Nothobranchius furzeri: one gene and its partners. The protein of the gene in region 3 purifies or fractionates together with the protein of the main gene of each other region. This does not show direct contact. Links are inferred from orthologs where the notes say so. Each region holds a gene or a part of one and is shown on either strand. Other genes may lie near its edges.

Region 1 (2,958 bases), on a different chromosome or scaffold from region 3:
TCCTGGGTTTACACAATGGCTGCCTTTTGTTTGGGTTTCAGCATATTACACATCCTACCATTTGTCATAGTATTTGTCACCTAAAGTCCTCTGGAGCAACTCGAAGCCCAAACTCTGCTTGATCAGACAACCACAATGTAGGTTATCACACCCAAAGTTCACAGCTAATCTGGCGACAAGGACAAGTTCGTCTTGCACAACACGTCCATTAATGACCTTATTATTAAAGCTTTAAAATAGTTTTATTGTGTGAACTTCATCAGCTTTTCTTTTCATAATTGTCTAAATAGCAAGTCGATCAATTACAATACAAAAACCAAAAGAATATTTTAGGGAGATTATATCACTAAGACTCTAAATTATCTTTTTCTATTAATAAAAGGAATGAGAGTTTCAGAATTGGTACGGTCCACTTAAAGGCTGGCTAGTTAAAAATAGGATTCTTCCTCATAAATGACAGTAACGCTGACATGGTGTTTCTTTGCTGCCCCCTGCAGGTGATGTCCATGGTCAGTACTATGATCTCCTCCGGCTCTTTGAATACGGAGGCTTCCCTCCTGAAAGCAACTACCTGTTCCTGGGGGACTACGTGGACAGAGGGAAGCAGTCCCTGGAGACCATCTGTCTGCTTCTAGCTTATAAGATCAAATACCCAGAGAACTTTTTCCTGCTGCGTGGCAATCACGAGTGCGCCTCTATTAATCGAATCTATGGTTTTTATGATGAGTGTAAGTGCAAAAGATGTCTGTGAATAATGAACAAGTCAGAGTTGGTTGTACAAATGCTGCAAATGTTTCTTTTTCTTTGCTGGTAGGTAAGCGACGGTATAACATAAAGCTGTGGAAGACCTTCACAGACTGCTTCAACTGTTTACCTGTGGCTGCCATTGTAGATGAGAAAATCTTCTGCTGTCACGGAGGTAGAGCTAGTGAACGTGTGCTTTACGGATGATGAAATATGAACGACTAACAAAACCTGATGTTCTCTCTGCGTCGTCTTTAGGCCTCTCTCCGGACCTCCAGTCCATGGAGCAGATCCGCAGAGTAATGCGACCCACAGACGTGCCTGACCAGGGTTTGTTGTGTGACCTGCTGTGGGCAGATCCAGACAAAGACGTCCTGGGTTGGGGCGAAAACGACCGTGGCGTCTCCTTCACATTCGGAGCAGATGTGGTGGCCAAATTTTTGCACAAACATGACATGGACCTAATATGCAGGGCGCACCAGGTGATGTTTGAGTGGTTTTGTGTAACTCGCCAGGAAAGCTCTGCTCCTGTTAACTTTGATCTCTGCTTGTTGTGGGGGTGTTATTGGGACATGAGTCAACACGCTGTGATATTGCGTCATCTATGTAAATTTAATCCTTTGAGGACTCTAGTGGCTTCTTCATTCTTCTAGCACTGATTCATTCGGACTTGAGTCACTTTTATGTTCCTCGTGTTTTTACTGGGATGCACCCTTCACAGGGGCACACAAAGGTTACGTACGGTAGTTCCTAATTTAGCTCAAGTACAACTGTAATGTAAGAACTGCAACTCAAACATTTCACAAACGTGTCGGGGAGGAAAATCTTTTTCCCTGATTATGTTTAATCGTTCTCACCTGGACCTGAGAAACCCTACTAGTCTTTGTTCTGACACTTTTATTTCTGTGCTAAGGTCGTGGAAGATGGTTATGAGTTTTTCGCAAAGAGGCAACTCGTCACTCTGTTCTCAGCGCCCAACTACTGTGGAGAGTTTGACAATGCTGGTGCCATGATGAGTGTGGACGAGACGCTCATGTGCTCCTTTCAGGTGGGTAAACACACGGCCTGTTTGTTACTGCTCCATGTAGCTTAGCTGAGTGATCTTCGTATCATTTGTGTGTGTGTGTGTGTGTGTGTTTCCTAGCTCCTTGTCAAACGGATGTTTAACATATTGAACTTGACAAATATTCAAATTGGGACTTTAAATTAGAAGAAATTGTGTTTGCCATTTTAATGTGGATCATTCCTTCATCTGTCTTGCAGATTCTGAAGCCAGCAGATAAGAAATTGTATTCTTTCGGAGGAGGAGGAGGAGTGGGATTAGGAAGACCGGTCACTCCTCCAAGAAATTCAGCCAAGGCCGCTAAGGCCAAGAAATAACACCTGCTGAGTTCCCTTCCTACAACCTTTTCACCCTCTGTTGGCCCAACTTTCTTTTTCTTTTTCTACCTCCTAATCTTGTTTCTCTTAGTTACCGAATGGCAACAAAGACGACCAGTGTCCAATGTTCATTCGTGTGTTATATATATTTTGTTTGTTTCTAAAACAAAGTTCAAACGTTTATCTGGTTATTTACGTGTGTGTGTGAGAGGGAGATGTGAGAACGACACAAAGGGAGTTGCTGTATTCTGTACGTTTTATTTCCCTTCCTCTTGGTCTTTCTGTTGGTTGCAGAGACGGGTTTGTCCCACTCATCATGTAAATCCTAGCCTGGCTGCAGGGGTGGGAGAGCACAGCGCTGACTGATTATGTTAAGGCCAGGCACTGTTCAGCATTACTTTCATGCTTTTGTAAATCATGTTTCACGTATTCATTTATGTCTTTGATGGGTGTGTGTGTGTGTGTGTGTGTGTGGGGAGATCATAGATCAGGTTGCACAGCTGGAAGGTAACGGCACAGGTGGATCTATAGAAGTGCAGGTTAATGCTCGAGTTTGATGAATTCACAATAAGATGACTTATTTTTTTTTCCTTCTTCCAACTTGAAAATCGTTTGAGATGACATGGATGTGATGTAGAGTTGCTCTTTTCTTCAACCTAATTTTTGTTTTATTTTTGTAGATAACTGAAATGAGTATGGTTTTATTTTCCTCTTTCTTTTTTTTAGTTTATTTGAAGCTGAAGATGAATAAAAAGTAACCATTTATTTGAATACGCCATCATGCTTATCACTTTGTTATATCTGTCGCTCAGTGGTTGGTTTCTGTTGTGGTTT
Region 2 (4,086 bases), on a different chromosome or scaffold from region 3:
ACTCCATCTGGACCTGGATGGATGTTTTAAAAAGGTATAACAACCTGAATAACCTATACCTAAATTAAACCTAGAGTGCACAATTAAAAATAATAAATAATGAAAGTAAAGTCATTAGTTACAAATGAAATTCACAACTGTGTTTCACTGATTTAAACGATCTTTTAATGATTATCTGCAGGCTACATGGACATTTTAATTTGGATTTAGATGGTGTCAGCAGGTGGTGTCAGTAAGCATCATACCGAGTGTTACTGCTGGTATCCTGGATGAAATCTTAAACCAGTGGCTGTTTCACCTTTCAGTCAGTTCCTACATTTAGACTCAGTCCCAAAATATGTTTCACTAGAATGACCCTTAAGGTACAAACCTGGATTTTCTCACATTATTTCATTTTACATTATGAGAATAATAATAAATAAATTTATTTTTTTTCCTATTTTTAATTCAGTTTAAATTATTTAGGCATAGTTGAACACAAAACACAATATTATCATTTTAGAGGTAAATAAAAAAAACAATTAATTTGAAATATTGAAAGCAACTTGCTATGAATGTTTGGAATATTCTGAGGTAGACCAAACACATTTTATGTGAACTTACCTGTAAAAATCATCCTTTGTCCATACTGCGACCTCTCTTGAGCTGTTTTAGTGTTTTGCATTGTTTTTACTCTATTCCAACTGAATTATTCCAGGTTAGAAACAAAATTCTGGCCCCTTACCGACTTACAACAGGAATCCATCTGATTGTTCTGCCGATGGGGTCATGCCTGGTTGTATAACAACCACCTGTTGCCATGGGAACACTAGACCAAGTTACATTGTTTTAATAAGAAATACTTCACATGCTGAACCATCACCAGTATTTTGTCTTCACAAAATATGTAATTATCTAAAATAATATCTAATGAGAAATGACTTTATTTCATTCATTTTCTCATTTATATAATTTGTGCATTTTTTGAGACTCCTCAGGGCAAACCCGCTGCCTTTGCTTTCATTGAGATAAACAGTTACCTATTTAGTCGCTTGGTGGCACCATAGACTGTACATATACCAAAGCATAATGTATGCCACACGACAGCTCTTCGTTCTTTGTCGGATGGACTCGTCCAGTATGAGCCTCCTATGACTACATCTTTGTCAAGTTAAAAAAATATCACAACAGGAAGTGCAACCGCTTCACCACCAGACAAAAAGAATTTCGACATATGGTACAAAACAAGCGTGCTCAAATATTCTTGTACTCAGCTAATTGAATGTTTTTCTTTTTTTTTTGTCTTTTACCGTAATATGAAAAACAAGGTATTAGTCACATTTTTTACACCGTTATGCTCTTTCTCTGCATGAGAACCTATGAAATGATCTGATAATAACGTGGGGAGGGGACGATTTTAAGCCACACAACATGCCTCCTGTCTTTTATTTTGAAACGTTGCACAGGAAGTGCTGTTGCTACTTTGTTCCGATTTGGTAATGATGTCTGTCACCATGGTGGTGGCTTACAACAGAACACGGCAACGGCGGTCAATGTATCCCCACTTTTAGGTTAATTGAAGCGTCAGTATTATGAGTTTTATCACTGTGTTGAATATAACATTTATTTTTACCACGGACGCCATGTTGTTGTTGACGGGATAGCTTTTAGCCTTTAGCTTACTTTTTGTTTTTGCCGGATCCTTTATGGAATTTCTTTCCGTCGCTAGCAGAATGCTGAAGAGAAAAGGAACGGCTTTACCTAGCGCTGGCTTGGATAAAGAGACGCCAGCTTTGTACGGTTAGAAAAACAACTCAAAGGAGCAGTCAGAGCCTCGCGTCTAAAGGAAGTTTTCTCGCCCAGCTGGACTGATTTTGGAAGCCGTTTTTTGGTTCGGGACAGTGAAGGGACGGACACTCCCGAGGAGCCTGCTTGGGCTCTGGCTCCAGTCGTGGCCTGGCTCCGGGCACTCCCAGCTTCATCCTCGAGCTCCGGAGCACAGCCGACAAGAGTAGAGAAAGCCCCAAAAGTGGGCTTGTTTGTGCATAAATCCACCTCTGTTTTTCTGTAAACGTTTTTTTTTTCCCCAAGGATAAGGAACTGAGTATATCTCTTTCGGCGTCTTTCAAAACAATGGCGTCTTATGTGGATAACCGCTTTCGGCAGGCTGTAATGATGAATCCGGCTGAAAGGACGCAACAGGTCAGTACAATGATGTATTTCTATTTGTTACTGATGCAATCGGTGCTTAGAAGTACTTGTTCCTGCTGTGTTAGTCAGTCTGTTGCTACAATGCAAACATTCGGGATACTTCACCGCTCTGATCAGCAACAGTTTAACTATTTATGTGTGCAACTGTTGCCAGGTTCCTGTTAACGTACGGAAACGTCCCGTAAAAAAATAGTTCATCATATGAGATAATCGTGGCTACTTAGCATAACAGGAGCTGCAACCATCATGGGAGCCTCGCCAGACGGACCTGTACGGTTTTTACATGGCTGCATCTCTGGAACTTTGGGGCCCCCTCCTTTTACATAACGGTGTCTAATAATAAACGAAAAGAAAGATTTCTTGGGAGCAGTCATTGATGCTGGTCCGAACGTTACAGATCCTGATTAAAACAGACGTCAGCGCACAAACCTGAATGTGTGGCAATTACAAATGAGCAGAAAAACCCAACTTCTTTGTTGCATTCTGCAGCTAAAACAGTTTGCTGCTCTCCGATTCCGCTGTGCAACTCCCCTTTTCAGTCCCTTGCTAATTCTGTGGGCTGCTGCTTTTAGTCGTTATGCAACAAATTGTATTTCTCAAAATATGCTCGTTTCTGGTTTGCATCTTTGGTTAAGCAATTTGTAAAAATGACATCCTTTCTTTTCAGCCTAGTTCCTGCTGCAAATGGATGTTGCTTCAGCAAAAGCTTTACATTAGACAACAGAATATACCCATAAACCTGTGGGCTACAGCTAGATGCAAAAATCGTGCACGTTTGACAGTTATGCTTGTCAACAGCTTTTATTCTGGCTACAACTCTGTCATAATTGAGGAAAAAAGTCATAAAGAGGTTCATGAATTTGTAATTTTTTAATTGATTGTGATACCATTACAAATAGAAATATATTTTTCCCGAATGAAAAATTAATTGTTTATTGTTCTAACATACAAACTGAGTTATATTGTTTTTGCACCCTATCTATATTGATTTAGCTTTCATTACTAAGGCAGGCTTTGGTGCATTAACATCTTAATTTGTCAAAAAGATATGAGAAGTTTTTGAAATTTCTCAGCTTGAACAATTTTAAGTTTATAACATATCAAAACTGATATTTTGTAACATTTAATGAATGAAACTTCAAAGCAAAAAATAAATAAGAATTAAATTGACAAATAAACAAAAAAAAAAACTAGCACCAAAAGTACAGCTTTTACAGTAAGCAACATATTTAGTCTGCAACTGTCATGGTATTGTAACTGATGTGACTGAATCACTATATTGGTATTTGGTTGTAATTTTCATTGACAACATAGTGTGCTATTCATGTGTGGAGTGACTGCAGGGACTCAAACAGATTTACCCTAATGGTGTTGGCAGGACCTCTCTGTCAGGATTAGTTAACAGACTCAAGGATCCGTCTTTATCTCAGGACTCGCCACAGTGAGGCTTGACCCTCTGCATCATGCTGTTGTCACATGGCAGGTTAAATAATTGACCACTTGACAGTTTGTGTTTTCACTGTCTATCAGTTTCCTTTGTGCAATTTTAGATTGTAAGTAGATGTTTTAGTCATACCAATGAGGCAGGATCACAAAACAGAAATAGGAGAATTACAAGCAAAGCCCTGCTGCACTTTATGTTTGCAATGGTGATATAGATCAAGATAACATGGCAGTTTGATAACTTTTTTCATGTGCAGCATTAATTAATTTTTGCACAAATTAAAGCTTTCTGTCCAATGAAGGAGTCAGATTTAGACATATGGTCAGGCTCTCAGTGGTGCGTTTTTGTCGTCTTGATTAGTCAAAGTACCTTCCATTAATACTACGCTCTTTACTTATTAAAAATAAGAAGTGCATGCTTTGCTCAGCAGGATGGACCGTTGCTGTCTGCTG
Region 3 (3,500 bases):
CATAACGCACAGACTTTTGATTATCGTTGCCTCTGTTTTGAACTTTGGGTTTGTTTATCTTTTTTTGACGAATTGGACAACACAAAGTTGGCGTCTAAACAACAGCATTTGGTAGAACGTGATGTTCTACTTTTTCTTTTTTTTTCCATCACTGTTGATTCCTGTTTGGTGTCCTGTATTGTGCTGGCCCTTTATTTTGAAGGTACCCTCTGATTTTCCACCCCCCCCCCCCCCCCCCAAATAACGCAAAAAGATCCCTTCTATCTCTAATAATTGTCAGGTCTTACAGAGGAATGAGGGGCAGAGGGTGACTGTAGCAGGGCCACAGAAACTCTTGTAGCTTGTGCAAATCTATAGAACTGGTTTTCCTTTTCTGTAGTCGTTCATTCTGCTCCACGTGACCTCGCTTTCTTGAAAGGCCACCTTCAGTTGGAGCCGATCCAGCCTTTTTTTTTTCTTGCGTGGTTTGTGGTGTTTTTGTGTGTGTGAGAGAGGGAGAGGGAGGAGTTGGTGGTTCTGGGGGAGGGTTTGGTAAGGGATTTGGCAGCTCCTTTGATCAATAAAGCATAAACAAGCGGGGGGCTTCAGAATGGGTTTCATTGTGTCAGGGGGAGGAGTGCTGAGTCAGGCCCACTCGCTCTCTGGCCTGGGATCGAGAGCAGACAGGCGGGCTGGGATTACCGAACGGGCCAAGGGAAACTTACTGAATCTCTCGCTTCATCCAGCTGTTCCAAAATCTGCTCTAATGGCATTTTGGGATCAAATTAACACCAAGCTGTTAAAAGAAACACAGTGAGTTTTTGTTGATCACTAAAGGGAATATTTCATGGCATAATAAATAAACTCTTTTGTCTCTTAAGTCTCTTTACTACAATTAAAAAGTGGCTTTGCGCAGACGAGCTGCTGGAGTTTGGTGCCTTTTAGGGAGAGATGGTGTGTGTGTGTGCGTGTGTGTGTGTTCTAAATAGGATGGTTAAAAAAAAGGGAATAGCTAGGTTTTAGGTCGTAGCTCAGTCTGCGCCTTTGTCAAGCAGGTGAAAGCTTTGTAAATGTGGCGCCAGATTGTTAAAGCCCCTGACACTCCGCAGTGTCCGAGCCGCTTCCAGGAAAAGGGACCCCCTGCGTTGAGCCCTGGGACTGACCCTCCCTCAATAGAGGGGGACCTGCCTGGGAGAGGAGGGCTTCCTGTATTAGCTTTCCATCTTAATCAAGAAACAAGTGCCAACAAAGCAGTAATTATCAATGCCTTGGGAGTGCACACAATGCCCCTACCCCACCCCTGCCCTGTCCCCTCTATGCGGAGATGGTCAGAAAAAAGATGAAGTAACATTGTTGGATGTGACCATAGATTAAGGTGTTTTAAAGTATATTTTGCCATCTGCTCTTGTTGCAGCCACATTGATAAAACGACCACTTGGCAGGATCCCCGCAAGCCCTTGCTCCAGATGAACCAGACTTCTCCTCCAAGTTCTGTTCCAGTCCCGCAGCAGACTCTCATGAACCCAACCAGTGGTATGTGCAAAAATCAGCTAGCTAGAATCGTGAAGTTTTTACTTAAATTTTGCTTTAATGGAGGAAAAACTCAGTCTAGTTCTTACTTGTCACTAATGTGCACAACTTGGAATTTGGAATTTGCCCCAGGTGAGGTAAGACCGAGGCAGGACGCGTCCTTCTGTTAGTTTGGAAGCTCTGTGACTCAGATCAGTTTAACAGATGACGTCATTCTCTTTGTCTCTAGTTGATACCGCTCAACCTGTTAGCTTGTTGGTAAATAATAAAAAAAAAAATCTCAGATGCTGACGAGCTTGTTTGTCAGGGACAGATAACGGTGATTCACTCAAAGACGATTAAATAAACCTGATTTAATCTCTGTTTGTGCACACATTTGATAACGCTGCTTCGTATTCTTCTCAATGTTCGTTGGTGTACTTTGTGAAACAATATCAGTAAAGAGAAATTCCTGCATTCAGCCAACTTCCAGTACTTGTTCAATGTTATTTTTCCCTGTTATCCCTCAGGACCCCTCCCTGAAGGCTGGGAACAAGCCATAACACCAGAGGGAGAAATTTACTACATCAACCACAAGAACAAAACCACATCCTGGCTTGACCCACGACTCGAGCCACGCTATGGTAAGCTGGCTGCAGACGGGAATCTTTTGGTTTCATCTCTTTTTATTTTTTATTTCTCAACTAAAGTAAAATACATCTGCTCCGTCTTCAGAAGAGGAACTTCTTACACAAAATCTGATGATTCTGAAGCTTTTATTAGACTCTTGCATACTACACCATCTGGTCCATTACCTTTTTTTATTAAGACAAGTGCAAATTTTCAATTGCTTAACCATGTAACCGTTACGTCTGTGACAGTGACTGAATGGCGAATTTTCCGTCATCTTTTGAGGAGAGCATCGGTGTGTTTTTCAGGACAAAAGATTAGACTTTTTTTTTCTTGGCAGCAAAGAATCACAACATTATAAATGACGCCGCACCTCCTTTTTACCATAATACCAGTTGGTAACTGTCAGTGTCTCCATCTATTGTTGTTATAGAGATGGATGGATGTCTAATGTGATCTTGCAATGCAGCTGCCACTGCCGCGGCATGCTGTTCATGCACCCGGTGGAACTCAGTCGCCTGTTCTTTATAGTCGTTCCCAGTGGTGATGCTAGGGGGCGCTATAGCTACCCCTGGATTAGTCATTGCACCCCCAAGTAAATATTAGATTATTTTTTTTACAATTTAATTTTAATTTAACGTGTGGATGTGATCATATTTAACATACAAAACAAAAATAATCAGTAAATTATCATATAGATAGTAAAAACTTCAACCAAAACAGGAAATTGATGTTAACCTTTGACCTCATTTTCCACCTGCGAACGAGTGAAAGGTAGAGCTAGTGGTAAAATGGATCGGTTTTTGTTGCCCACATTTCCACGGGTTCAGTCAGAAACGAATGAATGTTTGGAAGTGATCTCAGACCCACAAAAACCTACGGATCTGGATGGAGTCAACCCTCAACCGCCGCAGCAGTCGAGGGTTTTGCCGCTGGAAATGCTAACACTAACGTTAGCTAACCTTGCAACACTATAGATGGTTTTCTGTGTGGCTGTTTGTGTTTATGATTTCATGGAAAAGTCAGCGATTGTTCATATGTTTATGATGTTTATTAATGATTGTTTCAGGTGTTGTTGAGGTTTTGTGCACGCATGTGTATCTGCTAGTGTTGAAGGTGTTTTAGAGAACAATAGGTACGCACGACCACTTCCTTCATAGCACCCTCAATAAAAAGACTAGCTCCTTCATAGCATCTGCAGAAAAAAATTTCTGGAGGCACCACTGGTCGTTCCCCCTAACCTAGGCTTTCCACCGGTTGCGTAATGAAATGGCTGCATTGTCCACATGACCCCAGCCGTCCAATCATATCCCACTGGGAGCGTTTCAGATTCAAATCTGCAATGAAAGTGTTCCAACTGGACGAGGCCAGCCTGGTGAGCC
Region 4 (4,125 bases), on a different chromosome or scaffold from region 3:
ACTAACGAGGACGCTGCAACTTTCTGAGATCTGCCGAACGAAGAAAAATAAACTCTGCCTTGATGGACCCACCAGTGACAGCAGTTGGAATTCTGTGAGGTATCTTTGTTTTGCTTTGTTTGAAGCACAATTTAAACTACTTAGACTCAAAGAGAGACGACAAGCATGCAGTAGATCCTTAAATGTGCTGCTGTCGTAAACATCAAACAACGGGCTTCTTTTCAAGGCCACAATGCAGCTGCAGGAAAAAAAACTGCCCTGCTCTTCAAAGAAATTCCACCTTAAGTTGGAGTTGAAGCCGTTTTGCCCTAGTCAAGTACTAACGTATCCTCTGCATAAAAAAATACAATGAATCAAACAGGGAAGCTTGCTCCATAAAGTATGTGCTCCAGTTTCTCTGAACAGAGACCTTGGGCCATTTTCGTTGCACTCTGCAAGCAAGAAGACGTCTAATTATAGATTTAATGTGAGCATCAAAAGAGCTTAGAGACAATACATGAATACTGTGGCATTTATTTGACCCAGGTTTGTCCCTGATGAATGAAAACAAGCAAATCAGAGCATCTGTTGTCCAATAAAGGAAATTACTGATGCAGCACAGTGTTGGAGATCCAGTCGTACGTCACAGCAGGGTTCCGTTTTTCACCACCAGCTTTTCAAGGTAAATTGTTTGTGTTTCATCACCAGCTGGGGTGGGGTCAGAAATGAATCATCCTGCAAAGTTTCAGCCCACAGAGAGCAGCTGTTTTCTGCTGATTTATGAACCAGAGCCTCTAGAAGAGCTGCAGCAAACCAGAGGAGGGCACTAAAGAGGCTGCTCCTCCCATCAGCTTTCCTGGATACCATCCAGAACATTCATTCAAGCTTCCTAACAAGGTTCCTGGTGTCCAGACACTGACAGGGTGCAATCTGATGAAGACTGGAAAAACTGAGTTTGATGAGCTGAAATTATTATTTGCTATTAAGAAAGTGAAAAATATCAATAAAAATGTTGCTTTGGTTACTCATCATCATCTCATTCATATTTCTATAAAGCTAAATCAAACCTAGAAACCTAATCTTGAACTAAAAGTATTCAGAATGACACTAAACTTCTAAAATGAAGTTTTCTGTTCCAGATTTAGTTACAGAAGTAACTGCTACAAAATTTGTGATTTTGTTGCTGCGTCTGATCTCTTAAAATTTCACATCAATACAAATAAACAAGATAAGAAATACGCAGAATTCAATCTGTCATTTATAATTACCTAAAAATGTCAACAGAATGCTTTGTCCACCGAGTAATCAGCTTTACTAGGGTCCCTGAACGCACCATGACACTGGCAGCTAGCCTAGCCGAGCTAACTTAGCTAATCTGATTTATCGTGCCAGTTAAGCGTACGAAACGGTCGGCTGGATTTACGAATTTAGTTTTTTTTTTTTTTTTTTTGTATATTTCTTGTATCGCAGTATCTATTTAATACCAGATAGCCTCTCATTTCGAGAATGGCATCTCTGGGGGAACCTGTGCGACTGGAAAGAGGTAATGTTAATTAGCTAGCTAGCTTTATTTGTTGTGAACGAGAGACGTTTACCCAGTTTAGCTCTAGTTGTTTGAATCAAACTGGGAGTTGTTTTTTGGTACATATTTTGACATTTGCTTGTCATAAATGTATATATCTGATATTGCCCGTAGAGCTGCGTTTTACTTGACCAAGCTAAACGAAGCATACCTTAGCGGTATTTGTTTAATTCGCTCACTAGCTAAGTAGCTAATAACAGCAGCGATTGACCAGCCCAGTCAGTATGTTGGGAAATAAATGCGAGGTATAATATTGTCATTAAAGCAGTAAAGGCACGTTTTGCTTCTCAGAAATTACACGTCGAACATGACGCAAATTGCATTTGTTAAAGTGAAATAAGCTGTAATTGTCACATCTGTGTAAAAACAAGTGAAAGTATCAGTCCGACTTTCATTGTGAGCCAGCTCTGGTCACAAACATCAAAGAAAAACTAAGAAATCTTTAATCGGAGCTTGTTTACTGAGTGCTTTTTGAAATCGATTTTAAATATATTTCTGAATTGAACTGGGAGCTCATGAAGAGATATTTGTAATGCAAACTTTATTTCTGCCAGTATCCTGCTACATATCTTAATTTTTTGATATTTTGAAAAATTGCAGGTTGTTTTTAATCACTTAGAAACCGTTGAAAGTAGGTGATGTGTATTTTAGCCTTAAATGTACTCGTCTCTAGTGGCTTTAAAAGTGTTCAAATGATCAAATCTGTTGTGGGAACTCGTTTCTCTTCCATTTATGCCGATTATCACTTGTTAGTCGCTTTGGACAAAAGCGTCTGCTAAATACATAAACAAACATTTAGTTAATAAATGTCAGGAATCTGATCATTTAACATCGGTCTGTGCCGCTCAATCGAGATGACTTTAAATGTGCATTATGTAGAAATTAAGTAAAAATGACATCCTTTGGTAAAATTTGGTTACGTCAACCACATTAAAAAACTCTGGAGCTTTTTGCCGGCCGTCGTCAAATTACAGTTGTCTGCGCTGCAGTGTTAGCTCGCAGGAGACACGACAACCCAACTCACTGATGGTAAACAATAACTATGTCCCTCCTTCCTTTGTTTTGAAAAAAGAAAAAAACTGATAATCCCTGCAGCCAGCTGGAAATGAAATATGTTTCAGTAGAACTTTCCTCGCAAAATGACCAAAACATGACTCATTTGGGATTTTCTCGCTGTAAAATTCTCACTATATTTCCACATACTGCACCTTTAATAATACATAATGAGTGTGATTGATAAACAAGTTTTGGCCTTCCTGTGCAGTAGGGGGTGCTGTTTATATTTTACAGTCATTTATTTCACATGTAATTTTTTACTGGTTGATATAAAAACCCTCTGAACTATTTAAAATTTTCTTAAAAATTTTTACCCAGCAGATGTTCTCTTTTTTTATTTTTCAACACCATTCAGGATTTTGAATCTGCTTCATTTCACTTATGCAGATCACTTCTTTCAGAACAAACCCAATGGAAGTCTTAGAATATTTAAAGACATGTCCAGTAAAAGACAAGAATATAAATCAAATAGTCCTTTTACGTAGATTTATCGAGCACCTTTTCTGCTTTTACTTTTAAGACTTGAGTGCTGGCATCAATACAGGCAAATTTAATGCTCATTTTAATCTTTTATAGTGGTTTGTTTTGGACTGTGTGTAAGCTGTGATGGCATTATGCTCTCTTTGATAGATATCAATCGTGCAATTGAGCTGCTTGATAAGCTGCAGAGAACAGGGGAAGTGCCTCCGCAGAAGCTGCAGGCGCTGCAGCGAGTCCTACAGAGTGAATTCTGTAACGCTGTCAGAGAGGTGAGACTCTTCATTCCAACTCTAAACTCCACAGATTTTTCTTCCTCCTTGTTATAAAGTTCTGTTCGTTTGGTGCTTTTTCCCCCTCAGGTTTATGAGCATGTGTATGAAACGGTAGACATCAACAGCAGTCCTGAGGTCAGAGCCAACGCCACAGCTAAAGTAAAGCTCATACACAAGAAATCTCCTCCGTCTCAAAACTACTTTATGCATCAATTGTTGTACATTTTTAAAGAGTTTGTTTTATTTTCAAAGGCTACTGTGGCAGCTTTTGCAGCAAGTGAAGGACACTCCCATCCTCGTGTTGTGGAACTGCCCAAGACAGAAGAAGGTCTGGGTTTCAATATAATGGGCGGAAAGGAGCAAAACTCGCCTATTTACATCTCGCGGATCATCCCAGGAGGCATCGCTGACCGACATGGAGGCCTGAAAAGAGGCGACCAGCTTCTCTCTGTTAATGGGGTGGTACGTGCAGCTCAGAGAATCATTATTAGGTCAAGAATTGTAAATTTGAATCTTAATATGAAGCACGTATCAGGTTTTAGAGCATGTTGCTTTTTTGGGGAGGGATAATCCATGCATCTTCAGAAATTTCTGCATACAGAAAAGCCCAAACGACTGACTTTTAGTGTTAGAAGTTTTTTTAATATTCTGGTTTTTAAAGGGCTACGTGTTCATAATCCTGTGATCACTCATAAGCAGGTATAAAGTCTGAGTCCGATTACATCTCCATTAGTTAGCTTGATGAGGAGGACGAGG
Region 5 (3,986 bases), on a different chromosome or scaffold from region 3:
TCTCCGAAACTGGGCGAGGTAGACACTTTCGACAGATGACGTTTGATGCTGTTTTCTCTAAGTGACAACTCAGGTAGCTGCAAAACATCATTTCCATCCAGAACGCTTATTTTCTCTCTCTGAAAGAAATCTTCTGAGAATTCAATTCATGCATCCAAACTCGTATTTCCAATTTAGCTTCCATCCAGCCACAGGTTTGCTTTTAAAACAAGTTTAAAATCAAAGCTGTTAAAAATTGTCATTAAATTGTCATCCATGAATTGTCGTTCAAATCTTGAAGTTTAAAATTGTTAGTAATAAAATGTCTTCATTTTTAAACTTGCCTCAGTATTGATTTGAAACACAGAAGGGTATAATATTTCTGGTTATTGCAAAGGAAAGATTCCTAGCTTCTGATTCAAAATAAACTTTTGTTTCACATTTAATTATCTTAAATAAACATCAATCTTTGGATTAAAATTAGACTAAACAGGTTGGTGTATGAACTTAGATTGTATACGTATCCTGGATATTTATACACGATCTAAGCCTCATAGGTTCATCTGACTGGTCATTTTCAGAATCTCCAGCTGAAGAGCAACAGCGTTGGTTCTAGTATGTAGACTGATCACTACACATATTAATAGTCTCAGCAAGGTGGGCCACAAATTATTCCTGGGTGACATAATTAATCCGTGAAAAAGCCTTCCTAAAAGTATAAAAACACAGTTTTCTTTTACTCTGATTAATGAAACTTTCTTTAAGGTTGTGATAATGAGCCACTGCTGCTGGAGCGGTATCTATTTATAGCCACGCCACATGTGCTTCAGAGTAGACGGCTGAAGTTTACAGATAAACGCGGCTGTAACGTTAATACTGATTTCAGTGGTAAGTCCTGATCACAGTTTGACATAAAAATATAGAATTCTGCTTTAGTCTGTGGGACTAAAAGGATTTGCGGTTTACAGGAAACGCGGCTGTCAGCCTTTTCTGGTGGAGGCGTTTTAGTCAGTGGTCCTGTTTGAAGTCATTCTCCACACGTGCTGTTTTCCCAGATTTCTTCCTGGCTGATAAAAGCGGAGAGTCTCCAGAAGTGTGGCAGGACTTTGACCCGGTGAGAAGACCCCTGTCCCTCTGTTCCGCGTTCAGGAGAATTGTGCAGAAATGAATGTGTAGTTTTGGAATTTGAAAGGAAAGGCTAACGCTAGACACACTAAGAGGTGAGTTTTAACTTTTTTTTCTGTGCTATAGATATAATGTAGAAGATTTACGACAAATCTATCCGAGACAAATGGATTAACAACTTCAACATGTATTGATCACATTTATGCAAACTGTTCTGAAAAATGTTTTAACATTACAGGGAGTGCAGAACTATTAGGCAAGTTGTATTTTTGAGGAATAATTTTATTATTGAACAACAACCATGTTCTCAATGAACCCAAAAAACTCATTAATATCAAAGCTGAATGTTTTTGGAAGTAGTCTTTAGTTTGTTTTTAGTTTTAGCTATTTTAGGGGGATGTCTGTGTGTGCAGGTGACTATTACTGTGCATAATTATTAGGCAACTTAACAAAAAACAAATGTATACCCATTTCAATTATGTATTTTTACCAGTGAAACCAATTTAAACATCTCCACATTCCCAAATATACATTTCTGACATACAAAAACAAATCGGCAACCAATATAGCCACCTTTCTTTGCAAGGACACTCAAAAGCCTGCCATCCATGGATTCTGTCAGTGTTTTGATCTGTTCACCATCAACATTGCGTGCAGCAGCAACCACAGCCTCCCAGACACGGTTCAGAGAGGTGTACCGTTTTCCCTCCTTGTAAATCTCACATTTGATGATGGACCACAGGTTCTCAATGGGGTTCAGATCAGGTGAACAAGGAGGCCATGTCATTAGTTTTTCTTCTTTTATACCCTTTCTTGCCAGCCACGCTGTGGAGTACTTGGACGCGTGTGATGGAGCATTGTCCTGCATGAACATCATGTTTTTCTTGAAGATGCAGACTTCTTCCTGTACCACTGCTTGAAGAAGGGGTCTTCCAGAAACTGGCAGTAGGACTGGGAGTGGAGCTTGACTCCATCCTCAACCCGAAAAGGCCCCACAAGCTCATCTTTGATGATACCAGCCCAAACCAGTACTCCACCTCCACCTTGCTGGCGTCTGAGTCGGACTGGAGCTCTCTGCCCTTTACCAATCCAGCCACGGGCCCATCCATCTGGCCCATCAAGACTCACTCTCATTTCATCAGTCCATAAAACCTTAGAAAAATCAGTCTTGAGATATTTCTTGGCCCAGTCTTGACGTTTCAGCTTGTGTGTCTTGTTCAGTGGTGGTCGTCTTTCAGCCTTTCTTACCTTGGCCATGTCTCTGAGTATTGCACACCTTGTGGTTTTGGGCACTCCAGTGATGTTGCAGCTCTGAAATATGGCCAAACTGGTGGCAAGTGGCATCTTGGCAGCTGCACGCTTGACTTTTCTCACTTCATGGGCAGTTATTTTGCGCCTTGGTTTGTCCACACGCTTCTTGCGACCCTGTTGACTATTTTGAATGAAACGCTTGATTGTTCGATGACCACGCTTCAGAAGCTTTGCAATTTTAAGACTGCTGCATCCCTCTGCAAGATATCTCACTACTTTTGACTTTTCTGAGCCTGTCAAGTCCTTCTTTTGACCCATTTAGCCAAAGGAAAGGAAGTTGCCTAATAATTATGCACACCTGATATAGGGTGTTGATGTCATTAGACCACACCCCTTCTCATTACAGAGATGAACATCACCTAATATGCTTAATTGGTAGTAGGCTTTCGAGCCTATACAGCTTGGAGTAAGACAACATGCATGAAGAGGATGATGTGGACAAAATACTCATTTGCCTAATAATTCTGCACTCCCTGTACATCAGTCCTGTTGGTTTTAGTGATCGTAATGTTATTGCCCTGGTTTATAAAACAAAAATTCCAAGGGCGGCGCCAAAGGTAATTTGAAGAAAAATGTATAAATCTTTCTCTGAAGATGACTTTTTTAGAGGTGTGGCCAATATACAGTGGGCAGAGGTACTACAACACACATCCTGAGTTAGCTCTGGACAACTTCTACCAGTTATTTGCAGGAGTATGTGATGCACATGCGCCAATAAAAAAAAAGTATCTGTTAGACTTAAAAGATCCCCGTGGTTGGATGATGAAATACAGCAAAGTATGAGAATCAGAGATGAAAAGAAAAGGGTGGCTGTCACATCGGGAAGGCTGAGCGACTGGGAAGATTATCGGGTACTAAGGAATAGGGTAAGAGGTTAAATAGACAAAAGAAAAAACAATACTATCAAAAGGAATTTCAGAAATATAGTAAAAATGGCAAACAATTATGGAGGACAACAAACGAACTTATGGGTGGAAGTAAAACTGTCACGTTGAGGGTTGGAGGAGTAGGACCCAAAATGCAGATACCCAGAACGACGTGAGGCAGGGGTAGATGTAAACAAAAACATTCCTTTATTAGGAAGACGGGAAAAAAACCTAAATAAAATCCAAGGAGGCAAAATCCAATAAACCTGGAGACCTAGAGAACTGGAAAGGCACGAAGATGGGGCCAGGCTTCACAATGAGCTCACCCGAAACTCTGGCTGAATAGGACCCACACCCACCCTCACACCTTGGCTCGTGTGTTTATGTAGAAGATCGTCAGGGGGTCTTTTGTTCCCTCTTCGAGGGGAAACCCCCACTGGGTTTGAATCTGGGACTCTCCACCATTTGACCTTAGAACTGAAGAAGCCTCTCGGATGAGAGGTGAAACATCTTCAAGCAACTCAAAGAAGTCCAGACGCTTTTCTTTCAAAGCTCCTTAGACTACAATGACCTGGATGACTGAGAACCTTCACAGACACGAAGCCAAAACCTAGAGACCTAAGGAGGGGAGGGGAGGGGAGGGGAGGGGAGGGGAGGGGAGGGGAGGGGAGGCAACGTTTGACACGAAACAATGGACCCACAACA
Region 6 (3,115 bases), on a different chromosome or scaffold from region 3:
ATGACTTGTTTTGGTTGACTACTGGATTTATGAAGGATTCTTAAACCAGCAGCTGTAGGAAGCATTTATTTAAGAGCAGAACAGAAAAACTCAGCCGAGAACTAAACAGTCTCCTGACTCTAGACAGGCTTGATGCTGCGGCTGTCTCAGGGATCTAAAGGCTCCGCCTACGTCAGGTACGATGAGCTGTTACTGTCTCAGCCTGTAAACATGTAGGCAATTACGAAGCTAACGCTACATACAAACAAGAAAACAGAAAAACCGGTTCAGTGTCTTCTTGGTTTAAAAAGACAGGAAGGAAGGTTGAAAGGTCGCCTTGCTGCTGCTGACTGGATGAGTGCTCCGTGCTTCTGTGCACCAACCCCCAACAGCCTCGGCTCAAAACAAAGCTCCATCTCTACCTCCGCTCTCGTCTGATCGCGGCGACGGCCTTGTTGTCACGCTGCTGTCTTACAAAACGCTCTAATGAGTGGCAGAAATCGTCCGCTGACCTAATTATATGACCTACAAAGTTCCCCGGGTCATTTCACAGCTCGACCTCGTCGTCGACACTGACATTCCTCCTCCTCCCCGCCTCATCCATGGTGCTCTCTTCAGGCTGTCGCTGGGGCATCCTCTGCTGCGCGTTGGTGTTTGAAGAACCAGCTTACAGGATTGTAGGTTGCTAATGAGGGTATTTGGGGATGGGGCACCAGCGGCTGCAACTTCTATAGAACAAAGAACTTCCTACTTCCTGTGAAACTAAGTACTTGTAATGAAGATCCAACTATTCAAACAGACACAAAGAAATGAGGCTCCAAGCAGACCAGGGAAGCTGCGGAGGTGTTGGCTCAGTTCTACTAAACGACACAAACAAACCCAGATGACGGCTCGGGACTCCGGCCCAACGCCGAAGCGTGATGAGGGTGCATCACGCCCAGCGTCACTCATGATGAACAAGAAGAGACATGTATGACTAGGGTGTTCATTTAGCAAATGACCTGTTTTATCAGGGAGAAAACGTCAGTTTCTGACTGCAGCTGCTCCTCTGCAGAAAAGAGGCGGTGGAGATGATGAACACACGTTTGTGACTAAACACAAGGAAGCAGGCTAACGAGGTCAAACACAGAAAATCCGTATTTCTGTGTTTTTTCTGTTTGTTTCACAAACCTCGTTTTTATCCATGTTGACAGAATGACACGCTAGGGTTAGCCACTACAGTAATAATGTGAACGTGCTGAAATGGTTTGATAGAAACTTTATTCATCATCCTGTGTTGGTGACGAGAACGGCTGTTATTAAAGTTTTTGAAATCCTCCCAGAATAATCTTTCAAAGTGTGTTTCCTTTTAAATAATACCAACTTACACACGTTAGAGGCCTTCGTCCTGGTAGGAAAAACAGTTTGTCTGACAGGACTGATGGGCTAACGGCTAGTTTAGTGAGTAGCATAAGATTTGTTTTTCAAAGATCACGCGTGCTTGTAGCACAATGATAAGTCAAGAGAAAGGCAGCAGCAGAAACGTCTGTTTTGTTTTCGGCCGTGTTTACCTAGGTCATGAAGGTGTCACACGTAATGTTTTTTTTTTACTAGTTAAGCATATGCACATGCATTTTATTTTGAAAGTTACCGGATGTTTTCCACATCTCGTGTTTGATTTCCTGTCTGGCCCAGTCTGAGCTGCTGAGGTTGGTGTGTTCTGGAAGAGCAGCGGGTAAAAAACAGACCAGCCACGTAATCAAACACACTTCTGAGGCTGGGGAAACACACCCATCAACAATAATGGTGGCTAATAGCTGCCTACGAAGCTTTGCAGACGTTATACCATGCTTCTGCTTCCGGTGGAAGTCTGGGATTAGGAGGGTGGAGCCATTTTAAAATGATAGAAAAAAAACGTTTTTGGCTGCGATGGACTAGCTGCTAGCTAATCAGTTCAGAGAGACTAACCCTTGTTTTTACCAGAAACGAGCGGCGTGGACCAGTCAGCGAACTTCCAACTGGGAGCTTTTCAGAAACAAATCAGGAGAGGAATTATTCCACGCAGCAGGTCCCACAAGGTCACAACAATCACATGGTAAGATGAAAGATGGCTGCATGCATCCAGTAAGGTCTGTGGCTTATCGTCTTTTGTGTTTACTTCAGCTGCAGAGGTTTCACAGGAAATTACATTTTTTTTTACTAGCTAAGCAACTGAAAGTCTGAATGTGACTTTTATTTTGAAAGTTTCTGGATGTTTTACACTGCTTTCGTGTTTGACTTCCTGTCTGGCCCAATCACACCTGCTGAGTTTAACATTTTCTGGAAGCATATTGGGTAAAAAAATAAACTGAAACATAGGCAACGCGCCACTGTCCTTCCGGGACGAGTCCAAACCATGATGCTGTGCAGCCGGTGGACAGGCACCCGCCCACGGCTAATAAACTTCATACGTTTCACGTCTAGTGGAAATTACTCCAAACGGAGGCTGCACACAGAGGGACCTCACCTTGCAGGGTTTGGAGGCACTGGCCCGTCTTGATGTCCCAGATCTTGACCGTGGAGTCCGCGTTGCCTGAGACGAGGATGTTGTCTTTCAGCTCCATGCCGCTGGTGAGGGACTGGTGTCCCGTTAGAGTGTGGATGCAGTTCCCCGTCTCCACGTCCCAGACCCTTATGGACGTATCCAGAGAGCCGCTCACCACATGAATCCCATCAAACTGCAGACACAAAGGATCAGCTGTAAGAGGGGCCGTTGCTTGCAGCTGTTAGCAGCACTTCCACTTACAAACTTCAGATTAAAGTCATTGAAATGGATTCATTTTATTGATCTGTGGGGCTCGTCTTTTTGTCCCTTCACCTCCAGTAAGACAACACGTTTTAAACATCTAACAGGTGAACAAAAACAATCAATCAGGCTGCAAACGGCCTTCTCTCTAACCTACGTGCCTGGTCAGAGGACACACTGCAGGCTGTCTCTTTTATAGAATTACTCCTAAACTAAAAAAAAAACAACTTCCACTCAGCCTGAGCAGAACTGCCGGTTCAGTGGCGGCTCACCTGTAAGGAGTACACTCTGTTGGTGTGGCCCTGCAGCGTGTGGAGGCAGGTTTCCGTTTCGGGATCCCAAACTTTGACCATGAAGTCGTAGGCACCGCTG
Region 7 (3,500 bases), on a different chromosome or scaffold from region 3:
AACAGCAGAGAACGTCTCAGCTAGTAGAAGCTAACATTAGTTTTAGCAACTCCACCACACAGCAGAACTCCTCCAGGCTTGTTTGTGGAGGTAAAACATCAACGATGCAGAGCAGAGTCAGTGGTAGACATGTGCTGATGTTAGCCAATCAGAGGAGAGGTGTCCAAATATCAGGAAATAAGACTCTTATACTTTCTCCTCCAGCTGACTTCTCTGTACCACACACACACACACACACACACACACACACACACACACACACACACGCGCACACAGCAGATCTATTAAAAATATGAGTGAAGGGCATTTCCAAAGTTTATATGTTCTAAACAAAATGTGACTTTTCTACCACTTGCTAAAAAATTCTGGTGAATCTTTCTTTCTTCACGAGTCTCTGTTTATTTTCCAGGTGTCTCTAAAATCTCCGGAAGCAGCCGTCACTCTGCCCATCGTCATCGGGAACATCCCTTTGAACTTGTCCCCCTCCGTGCCTGTCCCCACCAGTCCAGGGCCCTCACTGGTACCCGGCCCTGCAGCGGCGACACCGAGTGCTCCGCCAGTGGAGGACGGCCCAGAAGACGAACTGTGCGCGGGGGGGTTTGCTAACGAAGAGATCCCCACCAAAAGTCACTCCCAGCAGGACCCGCTGATGCAGCCGGTCACCATGTCTCCCAGCGCCTTCAGCCACGCGCCGGGAGCAGCGCTGCCGCCCGGCCACAGGCGACCCGAAACTTCCGCTCCGTTGTTCTGCCTGTCCACAGGAGCGACGATACCTTTCTTCACGGAGGGAAATGTGACTCCAATCCCCACCTCCTGTTCTCTCATTCTCCCTCCAGAATACAGCTGCTGTGACTATCCCCAAGGTAAGAAAACCCAACAAGCCTCTGCTCAAAGAGGTACTGGCAGTTTCCCCCAGAAAACGAGTTAAGCCCGGCGGATTCGGCCGTCGTCGGGGGCGGTCACGTCACGCGCTCCGTCCCACAGCGCTCCTCCGTTAGAGCGGGGGTGAGGTGGTTGCACACGTTCCGCTCTTGTTTCTCACCAGTATCAGCTGATGGAGGGCTCTAGTTTCGATGCGCCGTTGGTGTCAGCGGACACGGTAGGGTCGGGGAGGGGGGCGGGGCATGACGTTTAGCCTGGCGGGTGGCCAAGCAAAGCCTGACTGGGTTAGTAAAATCTAAACTTCAGGGTGTTTAGGATCAAATCTCTTCAAATATTTATCTCCTTTGGTGTGTTAAAGCTCAGTTTCCCTCCGCTTACCGTCAGCAGCTGCTTTAAGCGTCAGTCCACCTAAGTGGTCAAACGCGTTTCACGCTCATTCAACGTTTTATTCAAATCTGTAAACTAATCTGAGAATTTAATCCTGATGCCTGTGCTGTCGACCTGTTGGGAGGCGAAGAGGAAGCAGCCTCTTTGTGTGTGTGTGTGTGTGTGTGTGTGTGTGTGTGTGTGTGTGTGTGTGTGTGTGTGTGTGTGTGTGTGTGTGTGTGTGTGTGTGTGTGTGTGTGTGTGTGTGTGTGTGTGTGTGTTTGTGTGTGTAAACAAGCTAACTAACACACTCAGAGAAACAAACCGTTTTTATTTCCTACATTATCACAACAACAGTTACATTACAGGTAGAGGCTCTGTAGGAGCGTTAGCGGTGGTTGTCATGGTGATATAATTCATGAAGGATCTGAATGCGTCGACGGTCGTAGCATCGTTATGTTCTGTCTAACACAGGAACAGAGAGTGTGTTTCCGCCCGGACCGTTTTAGATGTGACACCGATGGCTTTAGCGTGTTTTCCTGATTCCTGCTGCTGCTCGCCTTCCCGGCCAGTTTCAGAAACCGGATTTTAATAGAAATGTAAGTCAGATTAAAGGGATGTGAAGTTTGATGTTTAGAAACAGCTTTTCACCAGGTAGCCAAACAGGCGCACACACCTCTACGTCCAAAACCACGTCAGTAATGTTGTTGACATCACGTCCTTCTGTTGTTGCAGAGCCGCCTCCCACCTACGAGGAGAGCTGCAGTAGTGTGAACTCCAGTTTTACTGCTGGACAGTAGAAGAAGCAGGCGGTCGACCATCGTGGCCACGAACACCCTCACATCTGCCTGCCCCCCCTCCACAAACTAGATCCGGATGCTGGATGGAGGAGGACGGATGACGACTCCACCCTGCGAGCGGCGTAAAGCTCTTCTCTGATGAATAAAGGGATTTTTCTTATTTGAATAGGTTAGGTTTCACCTGGCTAGCGTCAGACGTGTGGCCAACATCACTGTGCCTACTGTGGGTCCTCGCTCAGCGCTTAGGGATGTGTAGGAGGTTGCTGGATGTTTGTTTGGTTTCATTTAGCAGCTCGTTGCATCTGTGAGGCCTTTAGATAAAAATCTAGCCACTGATTAATGTAGAAGACACCTTTATTTACCTGATTCACCTGTTGGTCTGGGGTCCTCACGCTAGGTGGACATGCAGCTACAGGTGCTGATTCTTCTGCCCAGCTGGAGTCATGTGACCTGTCCAATAGCAGGATGATGCAGAAAGTATCCGGTCGAACCGGAAAAGGAGCCTGAATCTTCTGGTCTGGAAGAGGATTCAGTGGTTGTGACATGGTGGTCTTTAAAATCAGGAGTTGCTGGTAAAATGCTCTAAACCGTTAAGCGTTTTGTGATTCTTTTCTGTCCCAGCAGTCAGACTTTTTATGCATCAACCGTTATCCGTTTTTTAAATAATAGTTTTCCATGAGCTTTGGCTGTTTTTCACTCGTTTTCAGCCCGGACCTGACAACGTTCCAGCACAAGTTTGTCTTTTTATCTGTAAGGATTGTTTTTGTCTAAGGAAACAAGTCGCTCCAGTTTCTTAGTCGTATTCATGAGAAGTACCATCAATATCGCAGTCAGACAGAAAATAGGATTTTAGCTTCAGTGAGGTTATTTTTGGCAAGGCAACTTTATTTATACAGTATAGCACATTTCACACACAAAGGCTTTTCAATCGGAGCAAGAATATTCAAATTCACACGACAGAAAATCCATCCATCCATTTTCATCCGCTTATCCGGAGTCGGGTTGCGGGGGCAGCAGACTAAGTCGAGAGGCCCAGACTTCCCTCTCCCCAGCCACTCGGGCCAGCTCCTCCGGGGGAATCCCAAGGCGTTCCCTGGCCAGGTGAGAGACATAGTCCCTCCACCGTGTCCTGGGTCTACCTTTAGGCCTCCTCCCGGTTGGACGTGTCTGGAAAACCTCACCAGGGAGGCATACTGACCAGATGCCTGAGCCACCTCAACTGGCTCCTCTCGATGTGGAGGAGCAGCGGGTCTACTCCGAGCCCCTCCCAGATGACGGAGCTTCTCACCCTATCTCTTAAGGGAGAGCCCAGCCACCCTGTGGAGAAAACTCATTTTGGCCACTTGTATCCGTGATCTCGTTCTTTCGGTCACTACCCAAAGCTCATGACCATAGGTGAGGGTAGGAACGTAGATCCACCGGTAAATCGAGAGCTTCACCTTCTGACTCAGC

Evidence for each region.
Region 1: the proteins of yap1 (region 3) and ppp1caa purify together in Homo sapiens (affinity purification with mass spectrometry; 5 studies listed by BioGRID and IntAct, with this or other methods). This does not show direct contact. The link is inferred for Nothobranchius furzeri from reciprocal best matches to the Homo sapiens genes YAP1 and PPP1CA.
Region 2: the proteins of yap1 (region 3) and rapgef2b purify together in Homo sapiens (affinity purification with mass spectrometry; 3 studies listed by BioGRID and IntAct, with this or other methods). This does not show direct contact. The link is inferred for Nothobranchius furzeri from reciprocal best matches to the Homo sapiens genes YAP1 and RAPGEF2.
Region 4: the proteins of yap1 (region 3) and lin7c purify together in Homo sapiens (affinity purification with mass spectrometry; 5 studies listed by BioGRID and IntAct, with this or other methods). This does not show direct contact. The link is inferred for Nothobranchius furzeri from reciprocal best matches to the Homo sapiens genes YAP1 and LIN7C.
Region 5: the proteins of yap1 (region 3) and rpl18 purify together in Homo sapiens (affinity purification with mass spectrometry, with the first as the bait; 4 studies listed by BioGRID). This does not show direct contact. The link is inferred for Nothobranchius furzeri from reciprocal best matches to the Homo sapiens genes YAP1 and RPL18.
Region 6: the proteins of yap1 (region 3) and fbxw7 purify together in Homo sapiens (affinity purification with western blotting; 4 studies listed by BioGRID). This does not show direct contact. The link is inferred for Nothobranchius furzeri from reciprocal best matches to the Homo sapiens genes YAP1 and FBXW7.
Region 7: the proteins of yap1 (region 3) and arrdc1b purify together in Homo sapiens (affinity purification with mass spectrometry; 3 studies listed by BioGRID and IntAct, counting the BioPlex papers as one, with this or other methods). This does not show direct contact. The link is inferred for Nothobranchius furzeri from reciprocal best matches to the Homo sapiens genes YAP1 and ARRDC1.

Annotation. Positions count from the first base shown.
Region 1 is NC_091745.1:8,622,297-8,625,254, reverse strand, and holds the end of ppp1caa (protein phosphatase 1, catalytic subunit, alpha isozyme a), read left to right. Parts: intron 1-497; coding exon 498-728; intron 729-814; coding exon 815-919; intron 920-1,002; coding exon 1,003-1,226; intron 1,227-1,657; coding exon 1,658-1,792; intron 1,793-2,007; coding exon 2,008-2,124; 3' UTR 2,125-2,458; downstream 2,459-2,958. UniProt on the Homo sapiens protein: Protein phosphatase that associates with over 200 regulatory proteins to form highly specific holoenzymes which dephosphorylate hundreds of biological targets.
Region 2 is NC_091741.1:75,547,956-75,552,041, reverse strand, and holds the start of rapgef2b (rap guanine nucleotide exchange factor 2), read left to right. Parts: upstream 1-1,286; 5' UTR 1,287-2,112; coding exon 2,113-2,181; intron 2,182-4,086. Other genes in the region: protein SPMIP2, read right to left, coding at 1-13, 604-664. UniProt on the Homo sapiens protein: Functions as a guanine nucleotide exchange factor (GEF), which activates Rap and Ras family of small GTPases by exchanging bound GDP for free GTP in a cAMP-dependent manner.
Region 3 is NC_091753.1:45,044,991-45,048,490, reverse strand, and holds part of yap1 (transcriptional coactivator YAP1), read left to right. Parts: intron 1-438; exon of another isoform or gene 439-589; coding exon of another isoform or gene 590-792; intron 793-1,393; coding exon 1,394-1,512; intron 1,513-2,018; coding exon 2,019-2,132; intron 2,133-3,500. UniProt on the Homo sapiens protein: Transcriptional regulator with dual roles as a coactivator and corepressor. Critical downstream regulatory target in the Hippo signaling pathway, crucial for organ size control and tumor suppression by restricting proliferation and promoting apoptosis.
Region 4 is NC_091749.1:64,462,198-64,466,322, forward strand, and holds the start of lin7c (protein lin-7 homolog C), read left to right. Parts: upstream 1-1,325; 5' UTR 1,326-1,485; coding exon 1,486-1,522; intron 1,523-3,247; coding exon 3,248-3,366; intron 3,367-3,456; coding exon 3,457-3,528; intron 3,529-3,621; coding exon 3,622-3,831; intron 3,832-4,125. UniProt on the Homo sapiens protein: Plays a role in establishing and maintaining the asymmetric distribution of channels and receptors at the plasma membrane of polarized cells.
Region 5 is NC_091745.1:76,499,324-76,503,309, forward strand, and holds the start of rpl18 (large ribosomal subunit protein eL18), read left to right. Parts: upstream 1-1,186; 5' UTR 1,187-1,199; intron 1,200-3,986.
Region 6 is NC_091747.1:80,718,727-80,721,841, forward strand, and holds part of fbxw7 (F-box/WD repeat-containing protein 7), read right to left. Parts: coding exon 3,016-3,115; intron 2,676-3,015; coding exon 2,465-2,675; intron 1-2,464. UniProt on the Homo sapiens protein: Substrate recognition component of a SCF (SKP1-CUL1-F-box protein) E3 ubiquitin-protein ligase complex which mediates the ubiquitination and subsequent proteasomal degradation of target proteins.
Region 7 is NC_091746.1:74,951,065-74,954,564, reverse strand, and holds part of arrdc1b (arrestin domain-containing protein 1b), read left to right. Parts: intron 1-409; coding exon 410-863; intron 864-1,983; coding exon 1,984-2,048; 3' UTR 2,049-3,500. UniProt on the Homo sapiens protein: Functions as an adapter recruiting ubiquitin-protein ligases to their specific substrates. Through an ubiquitination-dependent mechanism plays for instance a role in the incorporation of SLC11A2 into extracellular vesicles.